4 linked regions of the Saccharomyces cerevisiae S288C genome follow. The gene in region 3 interacts genetically with the main gene of each other region. Each region holds a gene or a part of one and is shown on either strand. Other genes may lie near its edges.

Evidence for each region.
Region 1: mutations in HSP30 (region 3) and VCX1 together harm fitness more than expected from each alone (negative genetic interaction), as found in Saccharomyces cerevisiae (2 studies listed by BioGRID).
Region 2: mutations in HSP30 (region 3) and PRM6 together harm fitness more than expected from each alone (negative genetic interaction), as found in Saccharomyces cerevisiae (2 studies listed by BioGRID).
Region 4: mutations in HSP30 (region 3) and VMS1 together harm fitness more than expected from each alone (negative genetic interaction), as found in Saccharomyces cerevisiae (2 studies listed by BioGRID).

Annotation. Positions count from the first base shown.
Region 1 is NC_001136.10:230,725-234,814, reverse strand, and holds VCX1 (Vcx1p), read right to left. Parts: upstream 2,164-4,090; coding exon 928-2,163; downstream 1-927. Other genes in the region: YDL129W (uncharacterized protein), read right to left, coding at 2,916-3,791.
Region 2 is NC_001145.3:179,422-183,107, forward strand, and holds PRM6 (pheromone-regulated K(+) transporter PRM6), read right to left. Parts: upstream 1,655-3,686; coding exon 596-1,654; downstream 1-595. Other genes in the region: GSF2 (Gsf2p), read left to right, coding at 1-216; PRP39 (Prp39p), read left to right, coding at 2,053-3,686. UniProt on the Saccharomyces cerevisiae protein: Low affinity potassium transporter that, with KCH1, participates in high-affinity Ca(2+) influx system (HACS) activation during the response to mating pheromone. Directly promotes K(+) influx and HACS may electrochemically respond to this K(+) influx.
Region 3 is NC_001135.5:155,496-159,118, reverse strand, and holds HSP30 (Hsp30p), read left to right. Parts: upstream 1-2,011; coding exon 2,012-3,010; downstream 3,011-3,623. Other genes in the region: YCR023C (uncharacterized protein), read left to right, coding at 1-581; YCR022C (uncharacterized protein), read left to right, coding at 1,354-1,698; HTL1 (Htl1p), read right to left, coding at 3,563-3,623. UniProt on the Saccharomyces cerevisiae protein: Probably cooperates with other heat shock proteins in the translocation of polypeptides through membranes. It may counteract the altering effect of heat shock on the plasma membrane.
Region 4 is NC_001136.10:550,896-555,715, reverse strand, and holds VMS1 (Vms1p), read right to left. Parts: upstream 2,463-4,820; coding exon 564-2,462; downstream 1-563. Other genes in the region: uroporphyrinogen decarboxylase HEM12, read right to left, coding at 2,768-3,856. UniProt on the Saccharomyces cerevisiae protein: Endonuclease that cleaves polypeptidyl-tRNAs downstream of the ribosome-associated quality control (RQC) pathway to release incompletely synthesized polypeptides for degradation.

The sequences.
Region 1 (4,090 bases), on a different chromosome or scaffold from region 3:
TTATAAGACTAAAGAAAAAAACACTTAAGAAGCACTTAAACTTGCATTAGATGTGTAAATCGATCAACCTGTAACATGTTTGAGGAAGGTCTCACACGTCTCCGAAGTTACAGCTACCACTTAGCGTGTCTGCGGGAACAATAGATCTCTTCCCAATTTGCACTAAATAGGTAACTAGCCAGGCCTATAAAAATCTTCGAGCGGAGAATTGACCGTAGTATCTGCCAAAAAAATCCACCTGCACCAGCATTTTTCGTGTTACGCGAAGTCTACTTTTCGCGTCATCAAAAGACGCTATAAAAATATAGCTGGGCTAATTTTATTCTATAGCTGGCCATTTTTTTATGCGATATCTGCTGGTTTTTTACAGCTGGAATGCCGTGACAGATGTAACAAGAATGTGTTTCAGCTGGCATTCTCACTCAGAAATGTAAGGCTAAAATCCGCTAAAATAGGGCTTCGCGTCTCATGATCTATTCACATTTGTTTCTAATAAACTATACTACAAAACGAAATTCTGTTGTGCAATGATGTAGGAAGCTCCATGAATTTGAGCAAAATTCCTAAATATTCTCGTTGTAATGAATAACGTTACCCTGAACAGTGCAGCAAAGCAGCTGATGTGCTGCAAGAAGAACACGAGCTGTAGTTGAGAAGCTTCGAAATATTAAACCTTTTATCAGAATGGAAATGGTGCAGAATTTGAGTTTCGAAGAGTGTACAAAATATTTTGTTGGTTTTGAAAACTTTTTTTCAGATAAAATTCGATATAAAAATTAGTTGCGTAAACATAATATGTATAATATAACGATCATAATAATGACTTGCTAGTCATAATCATCTTTGTATTGGTCCATCGATAGAATTACGAAGAAGATAAAATATAAAAAAAAAGAGAATGGTGAATTTCTGCGCTACTGTTCTTACTCATAAACTATTTCCAATAGAGTCAAGGGTTTTTTCGTCTGGATAATAGAAAAATGCCATTGCAATCAAAATATACATAGCTAGAGACATGACACCCTCCAACCAGTTTGACTCACCATCGAGAATTAAGTAATTGGATAAGAAAACAGCAATAAAAAGAGTAGCGGTTTCAAAAGTGGAGAAATTTAGCGTCATTGGAACATCGATCATCCAGCCCACAAGAACCATGAATGGTGTAACAAATAAGGCAACTTGTAAAGAGGAACCGATGGCAACACCTAGCGCCAGATCCATCTTATCCTTCATGGCCACCAAGACTGAAGTGACATGCTCTGCGGCATTACCCACAATAGGAATGACAATCAAACCTATAAATGTTTTAGATAGCCCGGTAGATTCAACAACGTTGTCTATCGTACCGACTAGAAAATCCGCACAAAAAGAGATGATCACAGTTGTACCTAGAAGTATCACCAATGATGACTTGACACTCAAAGAGTGATGTGGATTCCTGGAAATGGTGCTCATAACTTCATCGGTCTCTTCTTCTTGTTGCTCAAACAAGGCGTGATGGCTCCCTAGCTGGAAATATAAGAACAAAACGTAAACGATGAGAATAACAATAGAGGTGCCTCTGGATAACTCCAATATTTTTCCATCGATGAAGTGGTCTTCCTTGCCATGAGGTAGGGTGGCTCTAAAGGCAGCGGGAATCAGTAGGGATGCACACGCAATGGCAAGTAATGAGGACATTGTTTGAGCGGCGGTTTGGTTGAATGTCTGTTGGACTCTATTGTATCCACCGAATATGAAGCATAATCCAAGCACTAACAGCAAATTAGAAAGAAGACTACCTAGCATCGAGGCCTGCACAATTCTCACTTGACCTTTTTTCAGGGCAATGATAGAAACAATTAGTTCCACAGCGTTACCAAAAGTAGCATTTAGCAGTCCCCCAATGGTGTTACCAGCCTTATCAGCCAACTCTTCCGTGGCATTAGCCAAGATAGCTGCCAACGGTATAATTGCCAAGAAATTAAAAAGAAATGTCAGTGTATGAGATAGTTGGAAGTGTCCCCAAATCAGACCTAAAGGAACAAATACCAATAGGAAATTCAGGGGTGACGCTTTCAAAATATACTGTAAATCATACACAGCTGCTCTCCATGCAGTGTGCTTTGGATTGCGGGCGGGATGACTGTTCGCAACAGTTAATAGTGGGGTAGTTGCATCCATTGTATCTATGTTGTTTTATTTGCTATCAGCAGCCGATGAATGATATGCGTCGAAGTCAACTATATATTTAGGACTGCTTTTTAAGTTTAGGAAAGAGGAAACTTCTTTTACTCTCTGAGGAGATAAAATAATGCTGGGCGATAGTAATTTCCATATTCTCGTGAGGGAAATTTTTATTTTTCGGGAATTTTGATCAAGCCGTCCAGTCCAGTTTACGAAAAAGGAACTACGTCAATTAGTTTACAAAACATTCCCGATTACGTATGTCATATTCATCGAAGTTCGTAAGTGAGGATGACAAGGGATTAACGTCGTAAGGAAAACAATCTAATTGAAAAAAAAAAACTATTAGATAAGTATATATAACATTAAATTAGAACTTAAATACTACAATATTGTTCTCTTGGCAAAAAACAAGAAGGAAAATAATTGTCCCTCTCCAAACTGATAGCTTCCATTGAGTTCAATAGGAGAAAAAAAAATCCAATTTTTTCACACTTTCGGAAAATTTCCCTTTTAAGTTGTACTAAAATTACAGACAGTTGGAGGCATTAGATTAAAGGTGTATGATAGAGGTTAAAAGTAAACATAAATTCGTAACTGAAGAATTGAAGGAGATATTTCTCTTTGGAGAATTTTAAAAGAGTAAACCAGAAATAAAGAGAATAGAATATTATTAGAGAATAAATGATGTGTTTGGTCCCATGAGAAAGAAAAATTATTGACGTTCAATAATATTTTTTTCTAGCATACTATTTTTTTCGTGATTTAGGTTCTTTTTTCTCCAAATGAAAAACTCTCACATATTCGTTTGTTGCTGGATTGTCACTCCTTCTTCTCATCCTTGGATGCGGTTTATTGTTCTCTACTAATTCCAATGTGTCAATTTTGGTATCTTCCTCAACTTTATCAGTACCCGTTGGGACTTTTTGGGGAGAAAGATTCAAAGACGGCCGGGAAGCAGGAAGAGGAAGTTTTGGAACTTTGGTTTTCCATGAGTTCGGCGATACACCTCCATATCCTCCTTCTAGCCTAGCGCCAGTGGATAATGGTCTTTGCGCTAGTCCTGGCAATGACAGTTTACGCTTTAAAGGTCGTTCAAGAAGTGGTCTCAACTCTGCGGAACTTGCACTTTCGTTGGTTTTTGGGGTCTTGTTTTTTAAAAATTCTACCTCTTTTTTCAACAAGTTTGTCTCAACTGCATACCTTCCCTCTGAGGTGGCCCTTAACTCCGATAGCTGGGCCTGTAACTTCCAGTGAGATGTGGATGCTAAAGACCTGTTAAGCACACTTAATATGAGATCTTTCTCACTAACTAACGTTTCATCATCCCCTTCCTTTATCCTCTGTATGAGATTGAGAATTGTGTTTTCTAGTTCTCTGGTGTTTTTCAAAGATGGCATGAAGTGACTAGTAAAATTGTAGTATTCATTGTCATCAACTTTCTTCGATGAATCTGTAGTAGCGGTATCAGAGTAAGCGGGACTAAATACACTTGTGTTCTCGCTCTTTGCTTCCCTCGTGCCGACCCTCTCATTGGATTCTATGCTCCGTTCACTCTTATTCTTGGCAGGTTCCTCAGGCGTGACAAGATAGGCCTCTGCGCTCCGTCTACTTCTTAGCTCCATAGCCAACAAAATGTTAAATTCCTGTATGCCGTAGCCTTGCCCGCGTTTCGTATCAAAAGGGATGAGAAACTAAAGTGCTCAAATTTTATACGTTTCTAGTGCCTTATAGGTGTATTGCTAAGCCTGTAAGGACCGACGTATGTCCAACTTAGGGAGCTTTACATGTGTCAAAGAACCTTTCATTCCCGATGAGTAAAAATTTTAAAAATGTGCGCGGGAGAAGCTTCGGTCGGCGTCGCCATCAAAGGGCGAGCAACCATGGGTTTATGTAATTTTTGGTTGCTATGGTGACGACAGGT
Region 2 (3,686 bases), on a different chromosome or scaffold from region 3:
AACAATCTAAAGAAGATCTTGGAAGAGTATGACGGGGATATTGGTAAGATGAATGCTGAAATTAGGAGGTTTAGAAGGTTTGGTATTTATGAACCAGATGAAAAACTGGCCTCGCTAGTTAAGCTCAGAAGAGAAATTGCTGATGAGAAAGAGAAAGCATCAAACAATGATGCTACTTTTGGTATAAAAAAGAATGATTTGAAAAAATCTAATTAATTGTAAAACCAAAACACTACCATCCAGACTTTTTTTTTATTCAACCATAGCCTTTAACTACTACTACTACTACTAGTACTACTACTATTACTATTACTATTACTACTACTAGAGGGCCTTTTTTTACTCCTAGTATTTTTGTACTATCCTATTTACTCTCGTTGTTTTTATTAGTTTTTTCACTCTTTTTTTCAATTCCTCACGAATCTACTGTTTTCGTAGTGCTTTTTTTTGTTTCATTGTTTATAGCCATCAATGGTTTTTGTTACTATCATTATCATTATAAATATTTCATACAATATATACAATATATATACAATAAATGAGAATCGATTTACTTTTAATGCATTTTTGCAGTCAAAAAAAGCTTCGTTTACATTTATATGTATTTATGTTTGTATTTCTGGGGGAAATATGCCTTTATGGGCGTATATACTCTTTCGTACGTTTCTACATCCGAGTAGCAGTAGTAACTCGGTATTGTGCTTTCGTCGCCATAATCAGGACTATCATAATCGAATTTTTTTTGCGTTTTGTTGTCACCACATATGGTCCCTTCTTCCTCATCATCTATCAATATTCCCAATTCGTAGACAGTTCTACTTAAATTCTCGTCAATGACTTTAGACACATACTTTCGTAGTTTCAATTCATACCCCTTAACCTTCCTTTTACTAGACAAAAATCTCGGACGTATAAAAATGATGAATATTATTATGCTTAGAATTAATTTGCTTATTAAAATTACCCATATGATAAACGAGAACAACATGAAGGACAAGATCACACTTTCTTCGTAATTTGTCTTAGCAATATGTTTTATCTTGTTTATTATTCCATTTAGGTCATCTAAATTACCTAGGCTTTGAGTACTATGGGTTCCGCTACTGGTCTCATTCGAAACTGTCAGTAAAACTGACCACAAAGTTAATCCGTTGATTATTTGCCTTGGAGAGTCACCGAACAATAGCCTCAAACATCCACTGATTTCAAAATATGAAAAGAATAACCACTTACTGAATTTTTTCTCATCAGTCAGCACTATTAGTTCGAAAATTTGATACTTTTTGAAATTGAACAAGCAATTTATTAATCTGCTAATGCCATTCATGTAGTTCGATGTAATCTCTTTCTTCCTATACACTCTCAATCCAATTACCAACTCCCAAATTAATATTAATGAGGAGCATAATATGCATCCGCTAAACAACCATTTTGAAATACGGAATTCCAAGAATGGTTGGATGATATTGTTCGACCATGTGTTAAATGCCAGTAATTTAATACACGTGTATATATCAGAAAAAAACATGGCCACATGTAGTATCGACTGACACCAGGTGTATAGAATATACTGTAATTTTGTGGTCCACTTCGCAGTAGGAATAAGATTTATGTCAATATCCTGGAATTTCAATTTTTGTAAACTTGATTCCATTATTTAGCGCTTTGTTGTCATTTTCCTTTCCCTCTTAGACAATGTGGTAAAAAATGCCAGCTCCAGGGCTTTCAATTAATCCATTATTGATTTTTAATCTGGAGGTTTGAGCATGGCTGAATAATTTATATACAAATATCTTTTTTTATTGTTTCAGATCATTCGTTTTCAGTATGATTTACTATCATTCATTTTCTTTTTCTTTACCATTTTACGTCGCCGTCGCACATCTTAAAACAAATTTAATACAGAGTTGAAAGTTTCAGACTTAAACAGAATTTACGCAAGAAAGTTTTCAAAGTCCTAAAGTAAAAACGCGCCTTCCACAGCCATTTCTTTGTTCAACAAAAAGTTTTGGCCCTTACTGCTATTGGATACTTGGCAATCCGTCTTTCGTTATGCCAGATGAAACAAATTTTACAATAGAAGATATTGAGCCTAGGCCTGATGCCCTTCGAGGTTTGGACACCCAGTTCCTTCAAGACAACACAGCATTAGTACAAGCATATCGTGGTTTAGACTGGTCAGATATTTCTTCGTTGACCCAAATGGTAGATGTTATAGAGCAAACAGTGGTTAAATATGGCAATCCAAATGATTCAATCAAATTGGCCTTGGAAACTATTTTATGGCAAATATTGCGTAAGTACCCTTTATTGTTTGGATTTTGGAAGAGGTTTGCTACTATTGAGTACCAGTTATTTGGTCTCAAGAAATCGATTGCTGTTCTGGCCACCTCGGTCAAATGGTTCCCAACTTCTCTGGAGTTATGGTGTGATTATTTGAATGTGTTGTGTGTTAATAACCCGAACGAAACGGATTTTATTAGGAATAATTTTGAAATTGCAAAGGATCTTATTGGCAAGCAGTTTCTATCACACCCTTTTTGGGACAAGTTTATAGAATTTGAAGTTGGGCAGAAGAATTGGCATAACGTTCAAAGAATATACGAGTACATTATTGAAGTTCCTCTACATCAGTATGCGCGGTTTTTCACATCTTACAAGAAGTTTTTAAATGAAAAAAATTTGAAGACAACAAGGAATATTGATATAGTTTTACGAAAAACACAAACAACAGTAAATGAAATTTGGCAGTTCGAATCGAAAATCAAACAGCCCTTCTTCAACCTGGGCCAAGTGTTAAATGATGATTTGGAAAATTGGTCGCGATATTTAAAATTTGTGACGGATCCTTCAAAATCCTTGGATAAAGAATTCGTAATGTCCGTTTTTGACAGATGTTTGATTCCTTGTCTTTACCATGAAAATACGTGGATGATGTATATTAAGTGGCTAACAAAGAAAAATATATCCGATGAAGTGGTAGTGGATATATACCAAAAAGCCAATACGTTCTTACCACTGGATTTCAAAACTTTGAGGTATGATTTTCTTAGGTTTTTGAAAAGAAAATATCGGTCAAATAATACCTTATTCAATAACATATTCAATGAGACAGTATCGCGTTATTTAAAGATTTGGCCCAACGACATATTACTTATGACGGAGTACCTTTGTATGTTGAAAAGACATTCTTTTAAGAATTCCTTAGATCAATCGCCAAAGGAAATTCTAGAGAAACAAACATCGTTTACTAAAATCCTAGAGACATCAATCACCAACTACATCAATAATCAAATTGATGCCAAGGTGCATTTACAGACCTTAATAAATGATAAAAACTTAAGCATAGTCGTGGTAGAATTGATAAAAACTACATGGCTTGTACTTAAAAATAATATGCAAACAAGGAAATATTTCAACCTTTATCAAAAAAACATCCTCATTAAAAATTCTGTACCGTTCTGGTTAACTTACTACAAATTTGAAAAGAGTAATGTAAATTTTACCAAGCTGAATAAATTCATTAGGGAGCTTGGGGTAGAAATATACTTGCCGACTACAGTAATGAATGATATTTTGACGGATTATAAGACTTTCTATTTAACTCATTCAAATATCGTCACGTATGAATCCTCCATTATAGATTCAAATACATTTGACCCTATCTTGTACCCTGAGCTGAAAAT
Region 3 (3,623 bases):
CAGGTATCTTTGGTTGTTTTGTGGTTATTTTCATTTTTCCCATAGTTGATCGAAATTTCGATTGTTTAACAATTTTCAGAACTTTAGTCAAGCTGTACCCTATTATGTACGTTATGGTTCCTTACGTTGTTTTTCTACAGAATGAACGGATTCCTAGCTGGTATACTGTCGTCTACTTGTACATAATCACAGGGATAAAAACATTTTGTGGCGCTTTAACGTCACCACAAATTATGTTATTAATTCATAATTCGAGTCCCTTGAGTTGTAGATCAGTCATCAATGGCGCCACCATTAGTATTTCTGCCTCTGCTCGTTTCATAGGTCCCTTAGTATGGGGCTATATTATGTCTTGGTCCCAGCAAAATGACGTCGCCTGGGTCAGTTGGTGGTCGTTAAGTCTTTTTTGTATGGTAGCTCTTTATCAAAGTTATAAGATAGCACCAATTGATGATAACGAAAATGAGCTTCATGGACAGGGTAGTGAAGATGCCTACAATTCGCAGTCACAGTCTTCTGATTTAAGAATGGCTCATCGATCTAGTTTAAGCAGCTTAAGTAACCAACGCTGTACCACATGAGAAATTTTTTTTCAGAAGGCTTGCAAAAAGGATATCTAATAAAAAAAAAAATGAACTCCAGTAGATTTTAGATATCAACCATAACTGGCGAAAATTTGCACCTTTTTGATGAGAGCATGTTATGTCAAGGCATGGCCGCGTGATGGCATTGCACTCAAGATAGTTTCCGGAATTATTATACTCCTTATGTAAATTTCAATCCGTTTATGTAATTATATCCAGGAACTCAATTTGACCAGACAAGTAATGGCGCCCATTTTGAGCGAGAGAACCCATTTTTCTATACAAATTTCACTAGAGCACGGCCGTTACATTTAGTAATAGCCAATAAGGGTTTTTTATCGATTAGTGTTCCCTGCGCTCCTTAACATCATACAACCGAGTACTTGACATGGAGATAGTAGGCAAGTAAACCAAAGTCCTTTCTTCAAAAGTAGAAAACTTGAGCACTTATTTCCTGCGCATGTCATATGTTAATTTTCCTCAACTGCGCTGAATACGTCCTGTCAATTCAAATATATCACGTTGTGAGCAGCCCTGAAGAAGAAAACCTCAACAGCAGTATTACTATTACAATCAAACAACTTTAGTGCCGCGTGATACCGGGGGTTGAAGTGGGTGCATTGAGCCGTATTCTTCTTCCCCGTAAGAAAGTTGTGTATCCTTTTTACTGCGTTGTAATAGCTTCTGAAAACCTAAAAAATGAACGCTATGTAGCTCATATCCGTTTTGCATAAGTAAGAATAACTACTTGTGCAGGGTGCCGAAAGGGATGGAAAACCGCTGCAGCAACCCTTGTTACATACAGTCGGATCCATCTGACTTACTTTCCTTGCGTCTCCCTGCGCGATTTTGTTGGCCATTTTCCAGATCCTCTAGAATTTTTCAAGGGTCGAGCCGTAGGAGGATTCTCTCAGAAGGCAAAAACGCATCGAAAGCGTGCTTTGTAAGAATATTTGGTATGGCTAAAGTAAGCAAAGCCATATCCCGATCCCGATCCCGACTCTTATTCCGATCCCTTCCGCCACATCCTGCATGTTTATTCGAATACCAAATTAGCTCATCTTCGTTATTTCATCATCCCTTTCTGCTATGGCAAGGACAAGTTTTTTTCTAGCATCTCATCGAAAACTTTCCTCTCCCTAATTGGCCAAAGTTTTCATATTCATCATCAGTTAGAAAGTATAATATCAATCCCTTACCTCATTACAAGTTGTATCACACTAAAAAAATCATATATAAGTCTGTGAGAGTCTTCAATTATTTAGCGTAACACCTATTCACTTTCTAATCTTGTTTCTTGTTTTTACATTCTGCAATACAACACAACAACAAATATTAACTCAATTATTATTATTTATAATTACAAAAACAAAACAACAAGTTTGAGACTTTAATATCTTTTGATTACTAAAAACAACAAATTTCAAATGAACGATACGCTATCAAGCTTTTTAAATCGTAACGAGGCTTTAGGGCTTAATCCACCACATGGCCTGGATATGCACATTACCAAGAGAGGTTCGGATTGGTTATGGGCAGTGTTTGCAGTCTTTGGCTTTATATTGCTATGCTATGTTGTGATGTTCTTCATTGCGGAGAACAAGGGCTCCAGATTGACTAGATATGCCTTAGCTCCTGCATTTTTGATCACTTTCTTTGAATTTTTTGCTTTCTTCACTTATGCTTCTGATTTAGGTTGGACTGGTGTTCAAGCTGAATTTAACCACGTCAAGGTTAGCAAGTCTATCACAGGTGAAGTTCCCGGTATTAGACAAATCTTTTACTCGAAATATATTGCCTGGTTCTTGTCCTGGCCATGCCTTTTATTTTTAATCGAGTTAGCCGCTAGTACTACTGGTGAGAATGACGACATTTCCGCCTTGGATATGGTACATTCGCTGTTAATTCAAATCGTGGGTACCTTATTCTGGGTTGTTTCGCTATTAGTTGGTTCATTGATCAAGTCCACCTACAAGTGGGGTTATTACACCATTGGTGCTGTCGCTATGTTGGTTACCCAAGGTGTGATATGCCAACGTCAATTCTTCAATTTGAAAACTAGAGGGTTCAATGCACTTATGCTGTGTACCTGCATGGTAATCGTTTGGTTGTACTTTATCTGTTGGGGTCTAAGTGATGGTGGTAACCGTATTCAACCAGACGGTGAGGCTATCTTTTATGGTGTTTTGGATTTATGTGTATTTGCCATTTATCCATGTTACTTGCTAATTGCAGTCAGCCGTGATGGCAAATTGCCAAGGCTATCTTTGACAGGAGGATTCTCTCATCACCATGCTACGGACGATGTGGAAGATGCGGCTCCTGAAACAAAAGAAGCTGTTCCAGAGAGCCCAAGAGCATCTGGAGAGACTGCAATCCACGAACCCGAACCTGAAGCAGAGCAAGCTGTCGAAGATACTGCTTAGAGCAGCTTGAGATTGTCTTAATCATTCTTTGCTTAACACATTTCAAAACATCAGTTTTCTTCTTTTAATGTCACTAATGAAACTTAATATTTAATAATCTAATTTTAATTTCTTTATGAAATATGCAAAATAAATTATATACACAAACACAATAATTAATAATCTAATCTCATTTTTCCAAAATCAAGAAATGTTCTTACTGCTTCCATGCCTGAATAGTCTAATCGATAGTAGGCCATTTCAATTCTTTTTAGTTATATGGAGACGCAAACACCACTTTATTTTAGCGTACCCTACCAAAATTAAACGATAATATGGTATTTTTATTCTCATTTGTTACACTCTATTCTGTATCACTGGATACATTCGCGGTAACTTGTTTTATAAAGTGAGATGGGATTTATGACCATTAGATGCATATAAAAGCTTCCAAATAATAATAAGATATTGTGACTTTTGGTGAACTAGATACGCTTTGAAATTCTTCATTTGTAATGAAGCAGGATTCACATTCAATATTTTGTAGCTTACAATTGTGAATGTTGCGTTTTCCTACTTTTTCCTTTCATTTTTCAAAGCATCGAGCATTTTTTTCATTTCTTCCAAACTCATC
Region 4 (4,820 bases), on a different chromosome or scaffold from region 3:
ATTATATAAAAATATTATCTTCTTTTCTTTATATCTAGTGTTATGTAAAATAAATTGATGACTACGGAAAGCTTTTTTATATTGTTTCTTTTTCATTCTGAGCCACTTAAATTTCGTGAATGTTCTTGTAAGGGACGGTAGATTTACAAGTGATACAACAAAAAGCAAGGCGCTTTTTCTAATAAAAAGAAGAAAAGCATTTAACAATTGAACACCTCTATATCAACGAAGAATATTACTTTGTCTCTAAATCCTTGTAAAATGTGTACGATCTCTATATGGGTTACTCATAAGTGTACCGAAGACTGCATTGAAAGTTTATGTTTTTTCACTGGAGGCGTCATTTTCGCGTTGAGAAGATGTTCTTATCCAAATTTCAACTGTTATATAGAAGAGCAAAAAATTGCCAAAAAAAACAACATTTATTCATTTGAAATATAAAATTTGGGCTTCTATATTTTAATATTGCTTTTCAATTACTGTTATTAAATGTAAGTACTGTGTCTATGAAAATATATGCAAATGCTAAGAAAAATCCTAAAAATTTGAATATGAGATATTCCTCAGTATTTCTTTTTCATCCTTTCTTCTGCGGCTCTAGCCCTTTGTTCTCTCATCAATCTGCGTCTCTGTTCATCGGTCAAAGAATTCAAATTTTGTTGCTGAATTGAAGGAATATTGGTTAACTTTTTGCCTGGACCCCTCTCTGCATCTTTAGCAAATCTTTGTTTTTCCTTGGCGGCTTCTAATTCCAATTTAATCAGTTTTTCTGCCTTTTCATTCTCTATTGCTTTTTTCTTTTCATTGATTTCATCAACTTGTTCTCTGCTCAATGGCTGACCGATATGAGTTTCGTCCCAATTAGTGAAAGACTCTCCAAGATTGTATCTTGCAATTTGAAACGCGTGTCTCACGTCGTCGTTTCTATTCAAATCCCACGCAGTCCTTCCTAGTCTGTTCTTGATCGTTGGATCGCATTTAATATTTGAGAGCAAAATCAGTGCCATCTGTTTCATCCCTTGCTGCGATGCATAATGTAACATGGTAGGGGTTAAGGAATATTTACTCTCAGGCTTTAACCGAAAGTTTCCATCAAGCTTATTCTTTTTTAAGAAGGATATCAATAACGGTGCCCTTCCTTTCTTCAGCAGAGAAATTATTTCTTCTGTTTGGATTTCTTCCAGTAACGGTTCTTGTTTTTCTTTAAATTCGTCCTTTTTGTTCGACACTTCTAACTTTTGTACTGTTTCTTTCACTGCCAATGGTTCAGGCTTAGGTAATATTTTCAGGTAGGAAAGTTCGCACCATGCCTTCTTCAATTCTAATACAGTGGGCCTGTTCGTGGTAAAAGGGAAGCTCTTTATCCTTTCATCACCCTTGTTCAGAACGGTATTATCAGTAAAAATTTTTTTATCACTGACATTGCGAGCTCGAATAAAAATATTATCACACTTTGACAGATAAGGTTCCCAGTCCTTCAACACACCCTGTATATCTGTTTTTAAAGCGCTTTCATTGTACCTACGAAGTGCTGAACCGGCAGAGTTAGCTTTTCCCTTTGCATTGTCCATTGCTGACTGAGAACCACCTTGCTTCCTTCTGGTAGTATACCTGTGAAACGTCTTGTGCTCTAAGAAATTGACCGCTTGCTCAATTAAGGTTTCGTCCTTCTTGTGCGCGTTCCCCTTGACATTGAGTCTTTGATGAGAAACAATTGCTCCCGCAAAATGTCCACCTCCCACCATAAACAGAGCTGAAATGGCCATTGGGTTCTCTTGCGAATTCCAAAAAGTCAAAGCTTCATTGGGGTTGGAAAGACTCCTTTTATTAAATAGAGACTTATAAATCGCCAAGACCTCATTCTTTTGAAGATACTTCGATTTGAAATAAATGTAGGGCGATTGGGTATTAATATGGCTAATAGCATCCGACTCGTCTTTTTGGAACCCTAATTTCTGCAAATCATTTTCGATTATAGTTTCCATATAATTATTAGTTTGTAGGTCCGGGTCCCGATCGCTGGCTTCCTCACTTTCTTCGTGATCGCTTGAAGTTTGCTCGCCGCCAGAATTTTCGTCTTCAGACTTGATACCATGCTCCTTAGAAATCAGCGCATCGAATTCCTCAACGGATAGGATATCCAGCCCCCTAAGGTTACGCTTAACATTCATCAAATGATAATCAGTCTGGTAGTGGGCCTTTTGTTCATTTCTGGAATCAAAGCTCATTTGACAAACACTACAACGCATAACATTTGATGTGACCTTCTTTCTTGCTATTTGGAGATCTCCAGACTCCTTGTTTCTATCATTATCAGATGTCTTCTCTACTTCAACTTCTCGCAGTGTGGAGTCAAAGCTCATCAATTTCAATGAATTCAGAAGTTGCTCAGACAAATCAAAAATATAAAGATCATTCTTTTTTAGTGAGCCAGTCATTTTACTCGCCTTTTGTGAATTCATGCTATTGGAAGCTTGTCAACAGGCGTGCAGATCTTTTGAAAATCCTTTTTCTTCGAAGGAAAGGTGATATGCATTCTCATTTATTTTCATATACCTTCATCTTTTATTTTCTTCTATTTAAGATTTTGTCACTACATCCATTCAGAGAACCTGCAAAAATAAATATCTGAAAAAAAAAAAAATCGTAATAAATATACAGAATATCGAAAAAAGAAAAAAGGCCACTTTTGAACGTTGTGAAAAAGATATTATTTACATAAACGTATATTATCACTTATAACACTATAAGAATCAATATTTCCACATTACTTCGAACCAATTCTGTGGCACTCCTCCAAGAAAAACTTGATGACGTCTGGATCCATGAAAGGGTGGGTACCGTGACCGAAATTAACAATGTAGCGGGACTTCCCACCTCCAAAAGCCTCAATCATCTGTTTAACTTTCTTTGTTATTACCTCTTTAGAACCATACATGACGCCAGGATCCAGGTTGCCCTGCAAGGTGACACGGTTCTTGTTTATTTTTACCGCTTCTCTTGGGTCCCAGGACCAGTCCAACGAAACAACGTCAAATCCTGAACAGCATAGCTTGTCCAAAGCATACCACGACCCTTTCGCAAAAACGATCATAGGAATCTGTTCCATGATACCTAATTCTTGCAATCTTTTAGGCACTCTTTCGGCAATTTGTCTTAAATATGGTAGGGAAAACTCATCAAAATCTACAGACGAAAGCTCACCACCCCAACTTTCAAAAACTTGTAGTATTTGAGCACCCGCCACGACTTGCTGACTCAGAAACTCCACGGCCACATCAGTGATTTTTTGTAATAATTTGTGAGAAAGCTCTGGATACATGTTAATCCATTGTTTGGCAAATCTGAAAAGACGGGATCCACCGCCTTCCGTCATATAAACCATTAGAGTCCAAGGTCCCCCGCAAAAGCCAAATAAGGGAACCTCACCATCCAACTTGATCCTTGTCATGGTGATTGCCTTGAAAGCCCAATCTAACTCTTTCAAAACATCAACCTTGTAGTCTAATACCGTTTGGAGGTCTTCCGGATTTCTTAAAGGTTCTGGGAAATGTGGACCTTTACCTTCGAGCATCTCGACCCTCATACCCATGGCTTGCGGAATAACTAAGATATCACTAAAAATAATAGCAGCATCAATGAGGCCTCTATAGCGTCTTACCGGCTGGATAGTAATCTCAGAAGCAATTTCCGCATCCCTGCAAGTTTGAAAGAAATCACGATTGTTTTTCACCTCGTGATATTCCGGCAGGTAACGACCTGCCTGGCGCATTATCCAGCATGGCGGTCTCTCGACTTTTTCACCCTTTGCGGCTCTCAATATCAAATCGTTTTTTGGAGCTGGAAAGTTACCCATAGCGTTATAACCTGTTCTTTGCTTTATTTTTTTTTTTTTTGTTCTTCCTTTTCTCGAAGAGAGCTTACCAAACACAATTCTGAGATAATGCTTGATGAATTGAAGAACCTATCGATCACTCTATGTTACCTTCGTCTGGAACATCACTAATTCGAGCGGTAAAGATGAAAATGGCAGAACATTTCGCTGGCAAAATTAAAACTCTTGCCTCATTTTTTTTTGCTTTCCTCTCCTGCCGCCAAAAACCCCGAACCCTGTCCTGTATATACGAGAAACATTGAAAAAGATCGTGTATGATAGCGCCAAGATGGCGGATAAACTAACACTATTGACAGGTTGAGGCCAAGGATATATTACTTGCTAACAGAAAGAGATACTGTCACCACAATTGCCCGCGTACGTATACTACAACATGTTCTCTATATATCACCCACTCTTTCGCAGTGCTACGTACGCCAAAAACGCGCGCATGGAAGTAAAGAAGTTTTTTCTTTTAAGAGCGAAGCTCCATTAAAAGCCTTGAATATAAACTAGTGCGAAGTAGTATGATCCGAAGACACCAATTGCTGGTGCAGCATAGGAATATGTGGCGTCCGAAAAAGAGCCTTTAACAATCCACGGCGAAACAAGGCACCGCTGTGCATTTAAAACATGCCGTTCCCGTACCAAGTTATATTGTTACGGATGAATCCAAAATAATTTGTTAAAAAATGCTGCCGTTCCGTCCCATTGAGTTTTATTTTCCTTCTCATGGCACCTTCTTCGTTTCTTCATCCTGCATTAGACTTACTAGTGTGCTTGCCGGATGCGTGCTTTTTTTTTCCGGCCGACACATATCGCTGAGCTGGAAGGACACCTTTTAATGTAGCCGTGCATGCGGCTCCGCGAAAAGAGCTCTGCTATATTTCTCTACCTGAACTTCGAGCCGCGATCAACGAAAGCTCTCATCCAAGGCTCGTTTTTC